3 linked regions of the Canis lupus familiaris genome follow. The protein of the gene in region 2 interacts with the protein of the main gene of each other region in a pairwise test. Links are inferred from orthologs where the notes say so. Each region holds a gene or a part of one and is shown on either strand. Other genes may lie near its edges. The genes, in order: TNPO2, APIP and PDZD4.

The links.
Region 1: the proteins of APIP (region 2) and TNPO2 interact in binary tests that used the Homo sapiens proteins (3 or more experiments, as listed by UniProt). The two-hybrid records come from large-scale screens. The link is inferred for Canis lupus familiaris from reciprocal best matches to the Homo sapiens genes APIP and TNPO2.
Region 3: the proteins of APIP (region 2) and PDZD4 interact in a two-hybrid assay, tested with the Homo sapiens proteins (2 studies listed by BioGRID and IntAct). The two-hybrid records come from large-scale screens. The link is inferred for Canis lupus familiaris from reciprocal best matches to the Homo sapiens genes APIP and PDZD4.

Annotation. Positions count from the first base shown.
Region 1 is NC_049241.1:49,805,546-49,809,265, reverse strand, and holds the start of TNPO2 (transportin-2), read right to left. Parts: upstream 2,925-3,720; 5' UTR 2,766-2,924; intron 2,473-2,765; exon of another isoform or gene 2,425-2,472; intron 1,245-2,424; 5' UTR 1,232-1,244; coding exon 1,133-1,231; intron 466-1,132; coding exon 390-465; intron 306-389; coding exon 156-305; intron 1-155. UniProt on the Homo sapiens protein: Probably functions in nuclear protein import as nuclear transport receptor. Serves as receptor for nuclear localization signals (NLS) in cargo substrates.
Region 2 is NC_049239.1:33,416,248-33,419,894, reverse strand, and holds part of APIP (methylthioribulose-1-phosphate dehydratase), read right to left. Parts: intron 3,640-3,647; exon of another isoform or gene 3,141-3,639; intron 1,335-3,140; exon of another isoform or gene 1,181-1,334; intron 494-1,180; coding exon 393-493; intron 1-392. UniProt on the Homo sapiens protein: Catalyzes the dehydration of methylthioribulose-1-phosphate (MTRu-1-P) into 2,3-diketo-5-methylthiopentyl-1-phosphate (DK-MTP-1-P).
Region 3 is NC_049260.1:122,831,100-122,834,846, forward strand, and holds the start of PDZD4 (PDZ domain-containing protein 4), read right to left. Parts: upstream 2,581-3,747; 5' UTR 2,562-2,580; coding exon 2,463-2,561; intron 1-2,462.

The sequences.
Region 1 (3,720 bases), on a different chromosome or scaffold from region 2:
CGTCTCAGTGTCCTCATCTGTAAAATGGCAACACTGACAGTCCTACCATCCACGATACCGGAGCAGTCAGTGACTGACACCTTTAATGTGTCAAAAAGCTCCTTGGCTGAGAGGAAGAACTCAGGGAGTCATCACCAGCCGACTCCCGCTCTCACCTATGGTAGCTCGGATGAGTGAGGAGGCATCGCCAATGTTGTTGAGACACTCCTGTTTGATGAAGTCGGCCACAGGGGGCGGAAAGCTCTGGTAATGTGCCTTCACATTGTTCTTGAGGATGAGACCGCTGAGGGAACGAGTTGGCTCATCTGGGGGAGGAGGGCTGAGGGTCAGGGGAGCACAGGGGAGAAAGCGGGATCTAGCCCGTGCGTAGAGGGGCACCGGGAGCATACCTTCCGACTTGAGTCTGGTCAGGACAAAGATCAGGTAATTGTTGAAGTCCGGAAACTGGTTCAGTTGTTTGAGTTTCTGCCGGGTTGTTAAGGGACTTGGGAGACAAGGGCCTTCCCCTCCCCCGGTGGGTCCCTTCACTGCCGTGTAGCTAAAAGTCCCTCTGACCACCGGGACCAGGGGGACAGCTCCTGAGATGCCACCTGTCAACCCCCATGCCAGGAAACACAGCGCTGCAGGCACATCAAAGTCACCCAGTGGGTGGGAGAGCACGCCTGAGCTTTCCATGCACTCTTGAGAGGCCTGGCCACAGCAGTGAGAACCACTGCTACTCAGTCCTGCTCATAAGTCCCATGTTGCCCTTTTAAAAAGAAAAGAAAAGAAAAGAAAAGAAAAGAAAAGAAAGAAAAGAAAGAAAGAAAAAGAAAGAAAAGAGAATCTACATTTTTAAGTAAAACTTGCTGATAGTTTAAATATCTTCAACTTTAACTTACAGAGTTTTAAGCATCAATTGGGAAAGAGACATTTTAACCATGAACCTAAACAAAAACCACGTGCCAGCTAGTGTTCCCCCCTCCCCCACAGGGCCACATTTCCTCTGGAAATGGGACTCAAAAATTCTAATCCCTAATTCTCTGCCAAAGCTAGCTCCTGCCGTAAGAGAATCTGGGAATTAGGGTGTCAGCCCCTTCTGCAGACGTCTGCCCTGTTCCCCCTAGGCCCGGAAGGAAGGAAGGAAGGATACGTCCTGCACGATGCGCTGCGTGGCTGTGTTGGGTGACTGCGAGTCTTTGAGCAGCTGCAGGACCTGCTGCAGGCCCTGCTCATCTGGCTGCCAGTCCATGGCGCAGGGTGAGCTGCGGGGTAGGGGCCAGGGTCAGCGCTGGGTCCCGAGGGCCCCATGTGAGATCCGGGCTGAGCCCCGGTGGAGGTGCCTGCAGCGAGCCCCGGTGGAGGTGCCTGCAGCGGCCGCACGGCGGGAGCGCCCTCGGCTGACAGGCGGGGGCCGCCGATCCACACCAGCCCAAGTGCGGGGTCCCCGCCAGCTGCGCCATCCACGTCGGCGCAGTCTCGGAAACACAGGTGAGGAGATATGGGGGATATGGAAGGCCACGGGAGGCAGTGGCAGGGCTCGGCGGGTCCTCACTGGGCCCCGCACGGAGCTTTCATCCCAGGGCGGCCCATGCCGCCTCCCCCGGCTGCAGGCGTTACAACTTCCGCCAGCCTCACACCCGCTAGGCAAGGCGCCAGCCACCTCTCCACCCAGGGGCCCTGCCCCAGACCACGATAGCGCCCCGGCCCCCGTGGTCTCCCTGGTCCAGGCACAGTTCCCAACCCCAGAGACCGCTCTTCCGAAATCCAGCCCTCAAGCCCTGCCAGATCCCAGCTGCCTCCTCCTCCTCCGTCTGGTCCCCGAGCCTCCCAGGTGCACAGTCCCAAGGTGCTCCAATCGTCCGGATCCCTGCCACCTCCCCTAATCCATCCCTCCAAACTGAGCCGGATGCCAGACGCTCCTCCTTTTTGGCCTAGCCAGACCCCATCCGAGATTCCTCTTCATCGGTCCGAAGCAATCCCCAGACAGGTCCGAGCTGCCTCTCCAAAGGCTAGCCAGCCAAGCCCGCCCACCCTGCTAAATCTGACCCCTGGACAGGTCCCCGTCCCTTTCCCCAATCAGGTCTGGCCAAGTCTCCCCCCACCCCCCACCTTCTGCCTCCAGCCCCAGTCAGCATTAACTCCTGCTGGCGGATCTCTGCTGTTTCCCGCAATCAAGTTCGGCCAAGCCCCCCACCACCTCGAGCCGGCAACCCACTTCGTCCGATGTCTGCAGCTTCCCCCAGTTAGGCCTGGACGAACACCCCACGGAGCATTCCCCCCAACGGATCCTAGCGACACCTCGAAGTCAGACCCAGCAAAGCCCTCTAGAACGAAGTCTGACGCCCCTCCCGGTCAGGGTCCAAGAAGACCCCCAACTTTTAAATGCGGCCTCCCCCAACCAGACCCAACCAAAACCCCGCCGAAATATCCCCACACACACACCCGATCCTCGCGACGTTCCCCAATCAGGCCCTAAGGAGTCCCCAGACGCTTCCCCCAGATCCCCTCCGGCCCGATCCCAGCCGCCCCACTGCCCCGATTCTCGAGGCACCGGGGTCTGGCCTGGCTCCGAGGCCCCACCCCCTAAGCCCGGCTCGGTTTCCCCTTCCCCCGCCCCGGCCCGTTCTCGTTGCCTCGCGAATGGGGCCCAAACCAGGTTCTCGGCCTTTCCCGGTCAGGCGCGGCCCCGACGGCCGGGCCGCGCGCGGCGCTGACCCGGAGCCCGGCGGGGGTCAACACAAGCCCGGGCCGAGCCGGTCGGGCTTCGGGAAAGGCCCACTTACCGGGCCCCGGGTGGCAGCAGCGGCGCCGTGCGCTGCGGCTTCTCCTGAGACTCGCGCGGAAGGAGGGAGCCAAAGAGAGGGAATAAAAAAAAGAGAGAGAAAAAAAAAACGCGGCCGTGGATGAGCCGCGGCGGCTTCCGTACGCCGTTCAAATCGGCCCAGCAGAGCCAATCGGAAGGCGCAGCCGTAACACGTGGCCCGGCTCCGGGGAGACCCAGGCCCCGCCGAGACCGGGTCACGTGACCGAAGTGTTGGCGGCTCGCCTGGGCTCTCTGGCCGTTTGGTCTTCCCGGCGTCTCGTTTTCTCAGCGTCTCTCACGCCCGCCTGACAGTAGCTCTTTGCTGGGAGCTGAGTTTAGTGGCGCGTGGGGGGACTTTCGGTATGTGGTAGGCCCGGGGACCTCTCGGCCACAGCCAGTTGTGCCTCTCACCCCCTTCTCTACGAATACAACTCTGCCTTTTCCCTCGCATCCGGAAGGTACCTGGAAGAGTACAGGAGGTGTCCTCAAGGAAAGATCGGAGGGGACTGAGCCTAGCGTGGATTTTAGACCCCAGACAAAGGAAGGGCCGAGCCAGACAAAGGGAGTGCCTAAGATAGGCTGCGTGCCTGCAGAAGCCTCTGCCACATTTTGTTTTATTTTCCAGTACAGTTTGATACTTTTTACAAGGATATGAGAGAAACCCACAAGGACATAAAATTCTAAACGAGATGAATAAACGCTGAAACGAAAGGCCTAATCTCTTTCCCTACCTGAAGCTGAGTGAGGTGAAACAGCCCAGGAAATCTAGGCAAGGGCAGGGTCATGATGAAAGACATCTCCGTAATCCTTGCGCCATCTGAGGACAAAGTAGGGCACCTCTTTTAAGAGTGGAGCAGCGGAGGAGGGAGGAGCTGAAGACCTCGGTTCCCCACTTCCTGGCCAGGCTGATAAACAGGTGGACAACCTCCCACCAC
Region 2 (3,647 bases):
ATTTTTGATGGTTCATAATCTATATTTAAGTGACTTTAAAATATGTATTTGAACCTTTACAACAAATCCTGTCCACCTAGGGGGGACCTTTTCTAATTCTAGCCATATGAACATACTTGCAGCATATTATTTAACTTTGGTACTCCAAAGACTGAGGACTAAATTATTCTGATTAGAAACTGTGGTTCTTAAATCCTTAGGTATTTATTGTATCTACAACTTCTGCACACTTATTTAGTAATGCAAATATTCATTACTCCATTTAGAAACTAAGTATTTTTAGTATCACATAAAACTGGGCACCAGTTGTTCTTTGGATAGAACTCGTATTAGGCTCTTCATGTGCTACTTATTTGGACAATTCCCAGAAGTGAAATTAGCCCCAAACTTACCCATGTTTCAAGCTAATTCCTCCTCCAGTCCCAGTGACCCAACCCAAATGGTAAAACTGTTTGCAAAGCTCTGGGATCAGGTATCTTGGATGTTCTTTGTCCTTAAAAAGAAGATAATGATTTTTCCAAGAGACATTATGTTATCGAGTGAATTTTCTAGCTGACGTCTCTGTTAAGAAGTTGATGTGTAAGGGGTAGCTGGGTGGCTCAGTTGGTTAATCATCTGCCTTTGGCTCAGTCATGATCCCAAGGTCCTGGGATTGATCTCTGCCTTAGGGGGCTCACTGCTCAGCGGGGAGTGCGCTTGTCCTTCTCCCTCTTCCCCAAACCCCACTCATGCGCGTATCCAGGCCCATCTGTGCTCTCTCAAATAGATGAATAAAATCCTTTAAAAAAAAAAAAAAAGCTAATGTAAGGAATTTTAAGGAAATCTACCATAGAGAAGGTACCATGAGGGAGAAAACTATTATAAAACATACTTTGTTTTTAATGTTTAGAAAGTGGATCTACTATGTTGCAACCTGGAATTATTAAGAATAAGGCCATTTAGTCCAGCATGAAGAGACAGGTTGCAAGAACAAGGTGGAGAAATGCCCAGTTTACATAAATGTCTACTACAATGGCTGAAATAAAACAGAATCTAGGGCTGAGAGGAACATGCTTCAGTCTGTCCAGTGAATTTCTTAACACAAAACATTCAATTAAGTCATGATATACATATGAGAGCTATGTGTTCATATTCATTGTTAGTTCAGTTTTATTTTTATTCTAAAATCTTTTTTCCACAGTGATTGCATTGTTTTCTCTTATTACAAAAGCAATGTATACTCACTATGGAATATAAAGTCAAGAAAATAAGATGGAAAGGACTCACTCAGAAGCAATCATAATGAGTATTTTCTGGGCCCATTTCAATGAAGATATGTGTACACAGGAACAAATGTATGTATGTTGGGATAAATTCTGAGTTTTAATTACATATTTTTATTGAGGTAGAATTGACATATAGCATTACATTAGTGGATAATATAAAGAATAGGTATTTATATATATTGTGAAATGATCAGCACAGTAAGTCTAGTTAAAATAAGAGCTTATTTTTATTAAGGCTAATGATTATTTCTTTAGGAAAAAAACTCAATGTTTCCCCCATTTTTAAAAATCAAAATTAATGAAAGCAAAAAACAATATTTTTATTTTTAGCAATATGACATATGACTCTTAACTTGAAAATAACAAAAATGCTGAATAGTTTTTAAAAACATTTCAAATTAAATTGCTGAGCTGGCAAGAAGTACGGTTTCACAGGGGCCATAAAAGAAACCAGGGTGAGAGTCTACCTGGGAGGGAAGCTCTGAAGTCATAATTCCCCTGAAGGTATTTGCAGAACTCCGGTGAGCTTAAGCTTCAATTCTGATAGCTATGCAAGCTGCTAGAAACATGAGATTAAACCTAGGATGTGCTCAGAATGGAATATCTAATAGAAAATCCCTCCATAGGTTTGAGACAAGACAAGGGGCTACACACTCCAGGTAAGGGTGAACAAGAAACAGACCCTTTGTGCACAAAAGCACAGCAAGGAATCTTGCCTAGCTAAATGCTGGTACTGAGTAAAGGGGAAAAACATTTTTGAGTCCGAACAGGGATGATTATCGAACAGACCAAATTTTCAGCTACTTAACTGGCTTTCTGAAATTATGGTGTTTTTCCAAATTCACTGTTAATACTTTACATATGCATTGCATTTTGTTATAAATGATAATTTGATGGAGTGGACTTCAAAATATAAAATTAAGGACATGGGAATGTTAAAAATTTTTAAAGTTCTTTTTTTTTTAAAGATTTTATTTATTCATGAGAGACACAGAGAGAGAGGCAGAGACACAGGCAGAGGGAGAAGCAGGCTCCCTGTGGTGAGCCTGATGCGGGGACTCAATCCCAGGACCCCAGGATCAGGACCTGAGCTAAGGCAGGCGCTCAACCACTGAGCCACCCAGGCATCCCCAAAATTTTTAAAGTTCTGATTCAACACAGGCTTAGGAGTTAATGGACATAAAGTCAAACCTACATTACACCATTTATTGCTTATATAGGACTTTGGATTTCAGTTTACTAATCCATAAAATGAAAACATTGTAAGAGGTAAAATGAGATATAGTGCTACAGGCTTCCAGGTATGGGATGAGTCATTTTTTTTTTTTTAAAGAGAAAATAATGAAGATAAAGCATCCAGGATAACATGTGACAGTCAACGTTAGTTTCCCTCCCATTTTTTTTTCAGTATTATATTAGTTCAGGTGTACAATATACTGTATTTGACAATTCTATATATTACTCAATGCTCACCACCATCTGTTACCATATAATGTTATTAATACTATTGACTATATTCCCTATGTTGTACTTTTCATCCCTGTGACTCATTTATTTTATGACTGGAAGTTTTACCTTCCTTCCCATTCTGAAGTGTTAAAAATTCTTGAATTAAAAAAAAAATAATTCTGTATTGGCTTTCCTTATATCTGTCCTTACAAAATCTAGCCAGAATTATCCATGCCCTGTATAATTTACTATTTCCTTTTTTAGTGATACAAATGCTATTTTAATTATATATTAAAGTACAGCTAATGAGAAGACTCCTGCAGTCTTCCAACTGTTAAAACCGTCAATTTGCATAGCAAGTTGCAAACATTATAGAAAATGGTCTGTTATTATGGGTCTCTCCCCTTTTCCTTTTGTCTTTTCCAGTACTGAGTTATTACAGCAATTAGCCGGCTTCATGCTACAGGAATAACAATGATAAGGCAGCTGTTAATAAAGCTTCATTCAACTGTTCAAACCCACAAAATTATAATTTCCAGGAAAATAATCACTGAGCAGTGAGAACTAACAGATATATTGGGTAAAATGCAGTCATCTAAATTGTTCAGAACGGTAAGAGAGTAAATATCAGAATACTTATTTCAATAAGAATAGACAAAAAGGAAAAAGGGAGAAACATTTAACAGTATTTTGTATACATTAAAAACATTAAAGCCTAAAAAGTTGTTGAGTCAATACTTTATTTTTCTAATCTTTCAACCTAATTATTTTAAGGAAGTCAACTCCACTGTCACTGAGATACCTGCTCACAGCTAACAATGACTCTAATCCCTTCCACCATCTTTTCTTTCAATTTAAGCATAACAGAGACATGTATTGCTTGGACAGAGGTTTTCCTGGGAGGCTCTCACACAAATACAAAATAAACGAATC
Region 3 (3,747 bases), on a different chromosome or scaffold from region 2:
GGGTTCGGCAGGTTCTCAAAAAATTAAACAGAATTTACCCTACGATCCAGCAATTCCATTTCAGGCTATATACCCAAAAGAATTAAAAGCAGGGACTCGGGGTGCCTGGCTGGCTCAGTCGGTGAAGTGTACTGCTCTTGATCTCAGGGTTGTGGGGCTGAGCCCCACGTTGGGTATAGAGATTACTTTTAAAAAATCTTTTAAAAAATAAATAAAAGCAGGGACTCAAACAGATATTTGTACACTCATGTTCACAGCATTATTCACAATAGTCAAAAGGTGGAAGCAACCCCCATGTCCACCAACGGGTGAATGGATACTGTGTGGTATAGTCACACAATGGAGTATTATCCAGCAATAAAAAGAAATTTAGGGGGAGCCTGGCTGGCTCAGTTGGAAAAGCATCTGACTCTTGATCTCAGGTTGTGGGTTTGAGCCCCACATTGGGTGTAGAGATTACTTTACAAAAACATTAAAAAAAAAACATGATAAAAGAAAGAAGCCACACATAAAAATCATATATTGTATGGTTCATACAGTTCATTAGATGAAATGTCTGGAACAGGTAAATCCATAGAAAGTAGATGATCGGTTGCCAGGGGCTGGGAGGTGTTGGGAGAAATGGGTACGGGAGTGCTAAAGGCGGGGTTTCTTTTTAAGGTAATGAGAATGTTCTGGAATGAGACAGTGGTGATGGTTGCACAAGTCTCTGAATCTATTAAAAACCACTGACTGCACACTTTACCGGGGTGTGCGAATTTTAGCTCAATAAAGCTGTAGGTTGTTTTGTGCCTGGGAGCCCTGAGGAGAAAAGGGCGTGGAACCCAAGGCTGAGACAGACACCTGGCGGTAACGTGGGGGTTGGAGAACCCAAGAAGAGGCCCCAGGGAGTCCGGGTCCTGGCCCAAGGAAGTCCCCTGGCAAAGTGATGCGGGTGTGCATGTGCATTTCCCTGGGCTGCACTGGACCCCACTGGGGTCCCCTTCTCTCACAGGGTGCAAGGCCGCAGGCACGTAGAGACCGGACAGGAGAAGCACCACTGACGCTAGGGGAGGACCAGTGTTGAGGGGAGGACGGGAGCCAGGCAAGGGGTCCGACTGGTCTTTTGGGACAAAAGCTTCTTTCTGCTCTGAGAAGAGGGTCGGATTGGGCCAGGAAACCCCTCCCTGCTCTGCCTGGGACTCCAGACCCCGGAAACGGGGTCTTCTCAGACTACTAATGGTTTTCCCTGCTTTCCAGCTCCTTTTTATTCACCCTTTCTTTTGTCTCCATTTTATTTTATTTTATTTTATTTTATTTTATTTTATTTTATTTTGGGAGGGACGGAGGTGCAGAGGGAGAGGGAGAGAATCTTAAGCAGGCTCCATGCCCAGGCACCACGCGGGGCTCAATGTCACCACCCTGAGATCAGGATCTGAGCTGAAATCAAGAGCCTGGGCCACCCAGGCGCCCCTCCCCTTCATTTTCACGGATAGTCCCGCTTTTAAAACTACATCCCAGGCTCTGATTCTGCCCAAACTTCAGCAGGAGCTTTAAAAGGGAGCGGTGTCCCCAGACACTGGCCTGTGATGGCTGCGGCTCAGAGCAGGAAACTGCAGAGGGCAGTTGGCATGTGTCCCCAAGAGCCTGGGGCTCTCTCTCAAGAACCTTCCTGCCCGGGGTTCATCTCAAGCCCTCCTCCAACAAGGAGCCTCCCTGAGGGCAGTCCCAGCCCAACTGTGGCAGCCCCCCCAACTCACTGCCAGGGGGAGCCCCGAGGATCGCCCCAGTGTGGCCCCTCAACCAAGGCTCCTTTCAAGCCTGTAGGGCAGCGCGGGGGGCTCTCCACGCCTCCCCACCAGGTCGGCCTTACACGAAATACTACCTCAATCCCTGTCTGAGGAAGTCAAGAGCGCACAGCTCTGGAATCGCTGGCCGTTGGGTGGAAGATTCCAAGAAAGAAAGCGGTGAGGCTGGGATCCCACGGCGGCACCAACCAACCAGTGCAGCCCGGGTGCCCACCACTGGGATTCCCGCGGGCTGCCTTTCGGTCCCTGCCCGGGTCATCACCGAGCCCGTTCCACGAGCGGGCAATGACAATGGCCAGGCAAGATTTCCAGGGAACAGGCCGAGAGGAACAGCCCGGGGGCGCACGGCGAGAATGGAAGAAAGGCGGAGGGCAGCGAGGGGCAGCGAGGGGCAGCGAGCGCCCCCGGGGACAGGGCCTCAGGGGAGCTGGGTGGCGCGGCCAGGGCAGAGCAAGGTTCCCCGTCCTGCCCCCGCCCGCTCCCGGCGGCCACAACGGGGCTCCCGCGGCCTCCCCCATCCCTCCCCAGACACCGATCCCGCCCCCCGCGCCCCCGCGCCCCCTTACAGGAGTTCCCCCCATTCTTCTAAGGAGACCTCATTGCCCCGGCCCACGCCGCGCCCAGCAGCGCCTGCTCCCCGGTCGTGACCCAGAAACCCGGAGTTGAAGTGCATACCTGTCTGCGCCCGGTCCGCCCCTGGGTCCCGACTGCCTCCGACCTTGAACTCCCGCCACTTGGCCCCGGGGGCGTCTCAGGCCACACCATCCGGGACATTTCCCTGGACACCTCTCTGAGCGCACACAGAAAGTACACACACGCGGGGCCGGAGGAGCCTCCGCGCACACACAGACGGGGCACAGGCACGCACTCACGAAGTCACGCCACGCACAGGCAAGGAAGCCCCGCTCCGGGCCACCGGGCTGGGCTTGGGTTCCGCGCGCGCGGCCGGGCGGATCCCCTCCCGCCCGAGCACCCCCCGGCCCACGCCCCTCGCGGCTCCGGACCCGAGGCCCCGCAGGGCGGAGAGCGAGCGGGGCACCGCTGCCCGCAGGCAGCCTCCCCGTCGCGGAGCCCGCGGCACCCGGCCTGGGCGCGCGCCGTTTGGGCAGGGCCGGAGCGGAGCGGCTGCCAGGAGGAGCGCCCCGGCCCCAGCGCCCCCGCGCGCTCCTGCGCCCCTCGCCCGCCCGCGGGGCCCTGGATTCGGCCGCCGCCCGCGCCGCGGGTGCCCAGCTCCCTCCCCCGCCCTGGGTCCAGCGGGGCGAGCGTGTGCAGGGAACGGAGCCCGTTGCTATGCAACCTCCATCCCGCGCCGGCGCCGGCAGCACCGCGCCTCCCCGCTCCCCGGCCGGGGTGCAAGCGCGCCGGCCCCGGGCCGAGCCCAACTTCCCGAACCAGGCCGATCCGGACCCAGGGTTCAGGCCCCCAGTGTACTCCGGGCGCCCGGGGGATGCGCGCGGCACCCCATCCCCACGCAGCCCCCCCGTTTGTGCGCGGTTCCCACGGAGCGCCAACACCCAGCAGCCCCCCGAATTGAGGGCGGGAATGGCTCCCTACCTCTTCCTCTCCGCGCCCTCCAGCCCTCCAGGGTAGGCGACCGGCTGCCTCCCCAGGTGGCGCCCGCGCCCACGCCCCCGCCGCGGCGGTCCCTACCTGAAGCATCACTTTGTACTGCTCCTCCGGTTTCTGAACCACGCACATATTACATCCCATGGTGCTGGCCAGCGAGGGGCGGAGGGCGGCCGCGGGAAGACGCCTTTCAGTGGCCGGAGTGCGGGACCGCGGGTCCCGGGCCGCGGCCGCGGGCCATACCCTAGCGCAGGGGGCGGGCCGCCGAGCGGGGGAGGGGAGGACGCCCCCCAGGGAGGGGCCGCTCCACGCCCCTCCGGTTACCTCGGCCGGCGGAGGCCAGGCGCGGGCATGCTCCCTCGCACCCGGCCAGGAGAAAAAGGGCAGCGGGGGA